Linked DNA regions of Sus scrofa. The protein of the gene in region 1 binds, or shares a complex with, the protein of each later gene. Links are inferred from orthologs where the notes say so. Each region holds a gene or a part of one and is shown on either strand. Other genes may lie near its edges.

What was found.
Region 2: DDX5 (region 1) and PA2G4 share a complex: the UniProt entries of both Homo sapiens proteins name them as parts of the ribonucleoprotein complex. The link is inferred for Sus scrofa from reciprocal best matches to the Homo sapiens genes DDX5 and PA2G4.

What each region holds. Positions count from the first base shown.
Region 1 is NC_010454.4:14,571,263-14,575,734, forward strand, and holds the start of DDX5 (probable ATP-dependent RNA helicase DDX5), read left to right. Parts: upstream 1-1,468; 5' UTR 1,469-1,887; coding exon 1,888-2,066; intron 2,067-2,497; coding exon 2,498-2,663; intron 2,664-3,041; coding exon 3,042-3,138; intron 3,139-3,220; coding exon 3,221-3,354; intron 3,355-3,467; coding exon 3,468-3,533; intron 3,534-3,777; coding exon 3,778-3,919; intron 3,920-3,998; coding exon 3,999-4,159; intron 4,160-4,252; coding exon 4,253-4,425; intron 4,426-4,472. Other genes in the region: CEP95 (centrosomal protein of 95 kDa), read right to left, coding at 232-250. UniProt on the Homo sapiens protein: Involved in the alternative regulation of pre-mRNA splicing; its RNA helicase activity is necessary for increasing tau exon 10 inclusion and occurs in a RBM4-dependent manner. Binds to the tau pre-mRNA in the stem-loop region downstream of exon 10.
Region 2 is NC_010447.5:21,494,534-21,499,016, forward strand, and holds the start of PA2G4 (proliferation-associated protein 2G4), read left to right. Parts: upstream 1-1,463; 5' UTR 1,464-1,658; coding exon 1,659-1,746; intron 1,747-2,910; exon of another isoform or gene 2,911-3,031; intron 3,032-3,843; coding exon 3,844-3,972; intron 3,973-4,225; coding exon 4,226-4,331; intron 4,332-4,423; coding exon 4,424-4,483. UniProt on the Homo sapiens protein: May play a role in a ERBB3-regulated signal transduction pathway. Seems be involved in growth regulation. Acts a corepressor of the androgen receptor (AR) and is regulated by the ERBB3 ligand neuregulin-1/heregulin (HRG).

The DNA.
Region 1 (4,472 bases):
CCGCAAGGGCCCTTCTAACCCACCCCCAAAACCGCACCCCACAACCCGGAAAGAGCCAGGGAGCGGGGATGAGACCCTACCCAGAGAGCCCGCCAACTATCACGGGGTGTCACCAGCCCCGCCGGCCGCCCAAACCCGCCCGAGGCCTCAAGGTAAAAGTGGCAGGGACGTTAGGGGATTTAGAGAGGACGACTTCGTCCACACACACCGGAGCGACAGGCCGAGACTCACCAGCCTCTGAGCCGGCCATGTCGAGAAGGCAGGCCGCTGTCGGACTCTTGGCCCGGTGCGCGCGGGACGGAGCTCAGGGAGGGCCGCACGCCGCAGACCCAGTGCTGACAGGAGGGGGAAGCAAACGAAAGTGCCGGGAAGGAGGGATTAAAAAGGGAGGGACGTTAAAACCGCTTCTCGTTGCTGATTGGTCACCACAGGACCACTTCCTTTCGCAGCACGCGCTGGGGCGGCGGTTTGCGAGCTCTAAATACCATTCTCCGCCGACCAGATCCCGCTAAGGAGTTCTCAGGTGGGTGGGTTTAACAGCCCCGCGGGTCAACCAGCCGACCTGGCCGGTCTCCCCGGGCAATAGCACTGCACTTCCGGCGAGCGATTTCGTTTTGTACTCCTCCGCCGACGCCATCTGGAAAAGTAGTGCGGCCCGCTCACCCGGTGGGCGGGGGGGGAGTCACGTGACAATGTCAGGCTCCGCCTACCCGTCTCGCCGGGTTGTGGGCGTGAGGGCCCTTTGGAGACGTAAACATTTCCAAGAGAACCAAGTGGCTTGGTCTGGGTGGGCCATTTCATTGTTCGTGCTGGACCTGAAAAAGGGCGGGGCGACTTCCTTGAAGTGTGGAAGACAAGGAAAAGGTGAAGTCAAGAGAGTAAAAACTGAGGCTTCCCAGTAGTGGGTGGATGGACCCACCCTTGAAAGGAGTGAAAAACGGGAGGGATGGTTTGGGTGGGGGGAGGAGAAGGAGGGGCGAGAACATGGCGGATTTCGGAACGCCCGCGGGCGGTGCGGCCTCGGCGCAGGGGCGGGGTGATTAGGTCATAGAGCAGCTCCCAGCGTTCTCTGCGGCGGAGGAGGCGGTCCAGGCTATAAAACCGGCTGCCGGGACGCGGCCGGCACCTCATTCATTTCCACCGGTCTCTTGTCGGGCAGCTTGGGCTCCTGTCATCGCCGTCCCTCCGCCGCTGCCGCCCCCGCAAGGCTTCGCCGTCGTCGAAGCCACCTCCAGCGACTTGTCGCACCCGATTCTCTGTGCTTTGTTTCCCGCCAACCGCAACCATTGACGCCATGTCGAGTTATTCAAGTGACCGAGACCGCGGCCGGGATCGAGGGTGAGTGTGGGAACTGACCTGTCAGGCCCTGTGGGTGGGGGATGGGATGCCGATGCGGGGGGGCGGGGTGGCGACGGGAATTCGGCTTCCTCAGCCTATGTTTGGGCCTCGTCCCTCAAAGGCTTGCGCCATTTTGATATTTTTGAAACTGCCTGGGAGTTTCATGTTAATGGTTCTCGAGATCTCTTCTTTTGTCTGGGATGGGGCATCGCGGCCTCGATGATTTATCAGCTCTTGGGAGAATTCCAAGGAGCGTATTTCGAAGGGAGGGGAGCGCAGCGCTTCGAGGCGGACGAAATCGCTGCTGTTAGGTGCAACCTTTCGGAAGGTGTTTTGGGGGCCCCAGGAATTTTGTGGGTGGCGAGGGGGCCGTCTCCGATGCCGTTATTGCGGCGGGGGCAGGACGGTGACCGGCACCGCGGGAATCGGCCATGTGGCTGAGCCGCGGGTACAAAATGCCGGCATCGGACATGGCGGCGGCGCCTTTGTTACCCCGCCCGGCGGAGGAGCTCAAAATGGCAGCGTCGAGAAAATGTGGCGCAGAGAGAAATGCGAGACAAAGGGGGAAGCGCCGCCCCAGCGGGAACGCCGCCCGGCCGACTCCGCCCGGCAGGGACTCCTCCCCCGGTAGTCTCCAACGCCTCCTTTTCTTTTTCCTTACGTTTATATAATTTTGCTACCTTGATCGCGGTCCTTTCTGGGGCATCTCTCCAAGTCATTCGGCTTGCGTAAGTGTCCGCGAGATAACCCACCTTTTTCTGCTCTGTGTGCTGTTCCGTTATCTATTAAAATCAAAGCTCCTTTGCTTGAGAACAGCTGGTAGATAACATCGCTGTTAGGCTTATCCTTTCTTGTCTTTCTCTCAGATATTTAGTTTTTAAGTTCATGGGAGAGATTAGTAGCCCCAACTATTGACGCTCCTTGTAATCTGAACTTCTGGCATTCGGGCAGCCACTTTCCGACCTGTGAAATCCCGGGCTGATGATTTGGGTTCAATGGCGTGTACTTGGTACAACGGGAAATGAAAAGGATGCGGTGCTAATTGTGGCTTTTGAGAGAATGACCGTCTGTTCCACCTGGAAGTCTTTGATATTTAGCATGTGCCAAGGGGTGGTTAATATGTCTGTACGTGTTCGAAGATGTGACTTTTTAATTTCAGGTTTGGTGCGCCTCGATTTGGAGGAAGTAGGGCAGGGCCCTTATCTGGAAAGAAGTTTGGAAACCCTGGGGAGAAACTGGTTAAAAAGAAGTGGAATCTTGATGAGCTGCCCAAATTTGAGAAGAATTTTTATCAAGAACACCCTGATTTGGCTAGGCGAACAGCAGTAAGTAATTTCATGTGGTTTCTTCAGGCTGTAATTCAATAATTAATAACTTTGCAGTGAATCAAAATCTGACTAGAAGTTCCCTGCACATAACTAAGTTTTGGGGAACTCATGCTGAGTAAGTAAGGATCTTACTTACTTTGGGGAAGAGGAGTTACTACTCACTTTTGGAGACAAGTGACTTTTTCTACTTAAAATGGTTGGGTGTAACGTAATAAGTGGTTTTTGTTTGTTTAGGGTTTTTATATGGATCCAAATTTTAAAAGGCCATCTTAAAGTAGTTAAGTCAATTATGAATTTAGGAGCTTATTGGTTGCATTTTCAGTTAAGGGGAGTTGTCATGAGAAGACAACTGGATTTTTGTAATTTGTTTTGTAGCAAGAGGTAGAGACATACAGAAGAAGCAAGGAAATTACAGTTAGAGGTCACAACTGCCCAAAGCCAGTTCTGAATTTTTATGAAGCAAACTTTCCTGGTAAGTGCTAGTTTTCCCTACCTTAAAAAAAAATTCTTTCTCTCGGCATTTCTAATTTTAACTTACTTGTTTATGATTACAGCAAACGTAATGGATGTGATTGCGAGGCAGAACTTTACTGAACCCACTGCTATTCAAGCTCAGGGATGGCCTGTTGCTCTAAGTGGATTGGATATGGTTGGGGTAGCACAAACTGGATCTGGGAAAACATTATCTGTAAGTTGGGCAACTTGTAATTCTGTGTCGAGTGATTGAGGAAATGGGTTGGAAGTTAAAAGAAACCAGAAATATTTTAATGTGTAACTTCTGTTTGCCCCTTCTCTGAACAGTATTTGCTCCCTGCTATTGTCCACATCAATCATCAGCCATTCCTAGAGAGAGGTGATGGACCTATTGTAAGTATACCTTAAGCTTTGTTTAAAAGTACAGAGATTTGTCCAGTAGAAAGCAAATGACAATTTGTGGTGATTTTAAGTGGAGACGTTAGCTGTTTTGTACCATTTATCTGGAAACAAATCTGCTCTAGGTATTGGACAGCAAAATAAGTCATGTGCTGCTGTAACACTGATATATCATCACTTCAAAAGTAGACTCCGGAACTCTGCTGAAAGGTATTCATTCCACTTTCTCTTTTCTTAGTGCTTGGTGCTGGCACCAACTCGAGAACTGGCCCAACAGGTACAGCAAGTAGCTGCTGAATACTGTAGAGCGTGTCGCTTGAAGTCCACCTGCATCTACGGTGGTGCTCCTAAGGGACCACAGATACGTGATTTGGAGAGAGGTACAAAACAGAAAGTGTTTGATTTGTCACTGGTGGTGCTAAAATTCTAGATGTCTTGGTTACATTTTTGTGTTTAAAGGTGTGGAAATCTGTATCGCGACACCTGGAAGACTGATTGACTTTTTAGAATGTGGGAAAACCAATCTAAGACGGACCACCTACCTTGTCCTTGATGAAGCAGATAGAATGCTGGATATGGGATTCGAACCCCAAATAAGGAAAATTGTGGATCAGATAAGAGTAAGTACTCTTTAAATGTGTCTATCTTTTCAAACTTTGCTCTAAATTTATTCTTAGAATACAAGGCTTTTTCTTTATTCCAAAAATCTTTAGCCTGATAGGCAAACCCTCATGTGGAGTGCTACTTGGCCAAAAGAAGTAAGACAGCTCGCTGAAGATTTCCTGAAAGACTATATTCATATAAACATTGGTGCACTAGAACTGAGTGCAAATCACAACATTCTTCAGATTGTGGATGTGTGTCATGATGTGGAAAAGGATGAAAAGTAAGTCAGTCTTAATAACTCTAAAAACAACTTTATTGTACAAATTG
Region 2 (4,483 bases), on another chromosome or scaffold:
AAGGAAACTGAGCCTTAAGGAGATTAAGTAAATCAAGTAGCAGGTCCAGGATTCAAAATTTTCCAATGCACCATGCTCTTAGTGTAAGGTGTCAAAGAAAACTGATGAAAGTCAGAGCACTAGTAAGAGGTATTGTCTTCTTGTGTTTGCACTGAATCAAGTCTAACCCCAATATCCACAGCCTCCTCCTACACCTGGACTGCTCATCTCAGCAAGTGGGAGTAAGGGGGTGGACAGAAGGAAAAATAACTGGACATCTCTGTGTAAACCGTAATCTTCGTGTGCTACATATGATATCTGCCTAAGGGACAGACTCAGACGGTCCCCAGAGCCATTTTTTAGGAGCAGTTCTCATTCAGTAGTGGGAAGCTTCCAGTGGAGATGAAAAAGAGGACCCGGCTTCAGACCTCAGTTCCTTTGAATGGGAAACTGGGAGTATCTGTTTTTATCCCTCAAGTTTTTGTTTTGTTTTTATACATGTCTGAATAAAGATGCCAAGGTTTTGCAGCTTCTTGTCTAACGACAAACTTTAGTGAGTGGACAGATCAGCCCTTTTCTCCGTTCCACAGCAGAGAATGGCTACCATGGCATGCTTCCTTCTCTGTCTCCCCACAGTCCTACTTGGCCCCCTGTAGCTTTCTCCAGCCCCACTTTCCTTATAGTCTCTTTAGACAAGCAAAGGGTACAGTCCTTTTCATTTAAGCGTTTTACTAGGAATCTGTATAGGGCAACCGACTAACTGGGAGTAACAAAACAACCAAACAAAACACGTTTGGGGCAGTTAGAAAAGGCCCCAAGAGGTAGAATACTGAAACTCTCAAACGTTTCACAACTTTAAAAAAAAGTGTCCGTCTTAGGTGCCATCAAAGCCTGTTGTTGGAACAATAGTGCCATCTTCAGAGGGAGCCGGCCTCTAGACTTGGAAGGCTGTACATGGATAATCCCACAGAAATCTGGTGCCCAGTTAGTCCCTGCTCCACGCACTCCGGGTCTCCTTCCACACTCGCTCTGCCCCTCCCAGCACCTGAGGACGATCGGACTGGCCAGGCCGGTCCGCCTGCCGCTCCAGGGATCCGAGGAAGGGCGTACCCAGCCTCCCCGCCCTTGATACAATCACCCCCACTCGTCTCTGCTCCACCCTGCCCCGCAGCCTCCAAACCCACGTCCCCGCCGTAGCTCCGCCCCCTTCTCCCTTAGCCCGCCTCCCTCTATTACGGGTTCTCGCTCAGCGCTCCTGGTGGATATGGTTTTTCCGGGAGAGACCACGCTTCCCCTCATGCTCTCCAACGGCTCCGCCTTCCCGCCGGAGCCTGACCCTTCCCAGCGTGCTTGGCGATTCCGGCGTGCGAGGCCCTCGGAGGGCAAGGCCCCAGGGCCTGGCTTAGGGGCGCGAAAGGCAGGCTGGGAATTGTAGTTCGCGAGTCCGCGAGGGCAGCTAGAGGCTGGCGGCGGGAGGGACTCGTTGTCCCAGCATGCCCTGCGCATCAGCCCGCGCGCTCGCAGTTTCTCGCTCTCGCCCGCCCGCTCCCTAGCTTGCTCGCGCTTTTGCTCGCGCTCTCCTCGCGGATCGAAGGGGCTCTGGCCACAGCCTGTGGTTGGGAAGGGCGACAGAGGCAGCGGCTCAGGAGAAACGAGGCTGCGGTGGTGGTGGTGGGAAGATGTCGGGCGAGGACGAGCAACAGGAGCAGACTATCGCCGAGGACCTGGTCGTGACCAAGTATAAGATGGGGGGCGACATCGCCAACCGTGAGTGCGGCCTCGGGGGTCCGGAGATCGAGGCTGGGAGGGAGAGGCAAGGGGGACGGTGCTTGACGAGCCGGTGAGGGGCTGGAGCGGTGGGGTCATGCAGAGTGGGCTAGTGAGGGCCCCCCGCGGGTCTGCTGGGTTTGGCGTGGTGGGAAGGCTCGTTATCGCGTTTGGGACCTGAGCGGCTAGGCCTGGGCTGGAGTCTGTGAAGATGCAGGCGGGTGGCAGGGAAGAGCGCAGAGCGGGGCCCCGGCTGGCTCCGACCCTAGGCCCTTGGTAAGGAGGCAGGGCGTATGTCCTGCTCTTCATCCTTCTGTCTGGATCTCTGCCTCTGATTTTGGCAGCAGGGAGGCCACCTCGGAAACGAAACGCTCCTCTATTTTGTCGCTGCTCCCCGCCGTCAGGAGCCTAGCCGGCACGTGTTGCCGGGTCCCCAGCGGATCGCCGGCTCCCTTCCTCCGCTACAGTCCCTGACACTAGCTTCCCTACCACGTGCTTTGCTGTAGTCTTTCGTTCTTTACTTCAGCTCCCTCCCTGGAGGGGGCCGCCTTCTACTCTTGGGCCAGCTCAGGGACCGTTGGAGGGTACCCCTGGAGAACCCCTAACATAACTCTTGGAGACGTATCTGGTTGTTCTTGAAGTTATCATCTCCAATCTGCGCAGATAGCTTTAGTTAGTTGTCAAATTTGATTGCTCTCAGGGGTTTGACAGCTCTAGGAGTGTTTTGAGGTTCTTTTCACCCCAACCAGGCAAACCTGTGTAGAGCACTGGTAAAGGGGAGACTGACTTTATAGGATCTCGGAAGTTATCCTTATGGGGGCTCGCTCAGACTTCTCAGCAGCTGCCTGCCACTCTAGGCAGATGTCTCACTTTCTCTTTTCTCTCTTTGCGATTTAAAACCCAGTTAGGGGACAGAAGATGCTTGTCTTTGGGCTTTTAAATGGTTTTGACAGTAAAGATAGGTATTTAGGATGCCTTTGATCCTATGGCTAAAAACCTGAGTTTTTCAAACTTCCAAAAAATCCCCAAAACTTGGATCACAAAAATCAAACCTATAGTTCACTTTGGGCCTTGGAGAGGATATCCAGTGAACAGAACAATGCTTTATAACATAATGGACATTTAGTGGTTTGAAAACAGAAAAACTTTTTTTTCCTCTTGCAGTTTATAACTTCTGAGGCACTTGGGATTCCAGATACCAGTTGGAAACTCTTTTGGGTCACATACCTCATTGAGATCTGCTAAAAGCTATAAGCCCAAGCTTGCTGAAGCCCAGAGACCTTAGGTTAAGTCTCCTTGACTTGTTATATAAAGAAATAAGTCTACATATTGAGATTACTAACACTTAATTGGGGTGTCTGGGAAGGGAAGAAGGTAGCATTTAACAATGCATCAGCTTCGGGTCAGCAATTCTATGTCTGCCCTCCTGTTGTCCCTGACGCCTATAAATTTCCCCCAGTCTGCTTTGCCAGTGTGTTGGATACCTTGCTGAGAACCTCCTTGAAGTTCATGACTCTGTCCTGCACACCTCAGCTATCATCTTGGGAAAGTCTGCCTTGCCTAGGGAGACAGACAGTGCATACAGTGTCACCAGTTGTCACAATGTATAAGGAAGTGTTGGCTCTTTTTAGGAAAGGAAGGTAGCAATTTAGAGATGGATAGGTAAGTACATTCCAAGAGGCACAACTTTTTTTTTTTTTTTTTTTTTTTTTTGTCTTTTTGCCTTTTCCAGGGCCACTCCCTCGGCATATGGAGATTCCCAGGCTAGGGGTCGAATCAGAGCTGTAGCCACCGACCGGCCTACACCAGGGCTACAGCAATGTGGGATCCGAGCTGCGTCTGCAACCTACACCGCAGCTCACGGCAACGCCAGATCCTTAGCCCACTGAGCAAGGGCAGGGATCGAACCCGCAACCTCATGGTTCCTAGTCGGATTCGTTAACCACTGCGCCACCATGGGAACTCCCAAGAGGCACAACTTGTTCTCTCTTTCATCCTTAAAGCAATGGCACCAGGAAATGTTTAGCTTTGAGGTATTGCTTAGATGGTAACTTAGACAACACTTGCAGGACTGATCCAATGGGATTCTGTTCCCAGGGGTACTTCGGTCTTTGGTGGAAGCTTCCTGTTCAGGTGTGTCGGTACTGAGCCTGTGCGAGAAAGGGGATGCCATGATAATGGAAGAGACAGGGAAAATTTTCAAGAAAGAAAAAGAAATGAAGAAAGGTAAAAATAATCCCCCACTAATTTCCTGCATTTGACCCTTATTCAGTCCTGTTTGTTTTATTATAATGATGCACCCCCAGCTCCAGCACTGGTTGAGATATTTGGAATGATAAGGGGGATTCAAGCAGTTTCCCATCTAATCCAAACTGATTAAACTTAGGCAAGACCCTGATGAAAATTCTTTCATCTTTCTGAGGGGCAGCAGGCCTCTAAGAGAGCACGCAAGGCAATAAGGCTGATTGTCTCTTTACAGGTATTGCCTTTCCCACCAGCATTTCAGTAAATAACTGTGTATGTCACTTCTCCCCTTTGAAGAGCGACCAGGACTATATTCTCAAGGAAGGTGACTTGGTAAAAATGTAAGCTTAAGCCATTTCAGAGCACTTGTCTTTGTCCTAAGCATTCACAGTAGTGCCGGTTGCTAATGCTCTTCTCTGCTCTTGTCTTTCAGTGACCTTGGGGTCCACGTGGATGGCTTCATCGCTAATGTGGCTCACACTTTTGTGGTTGA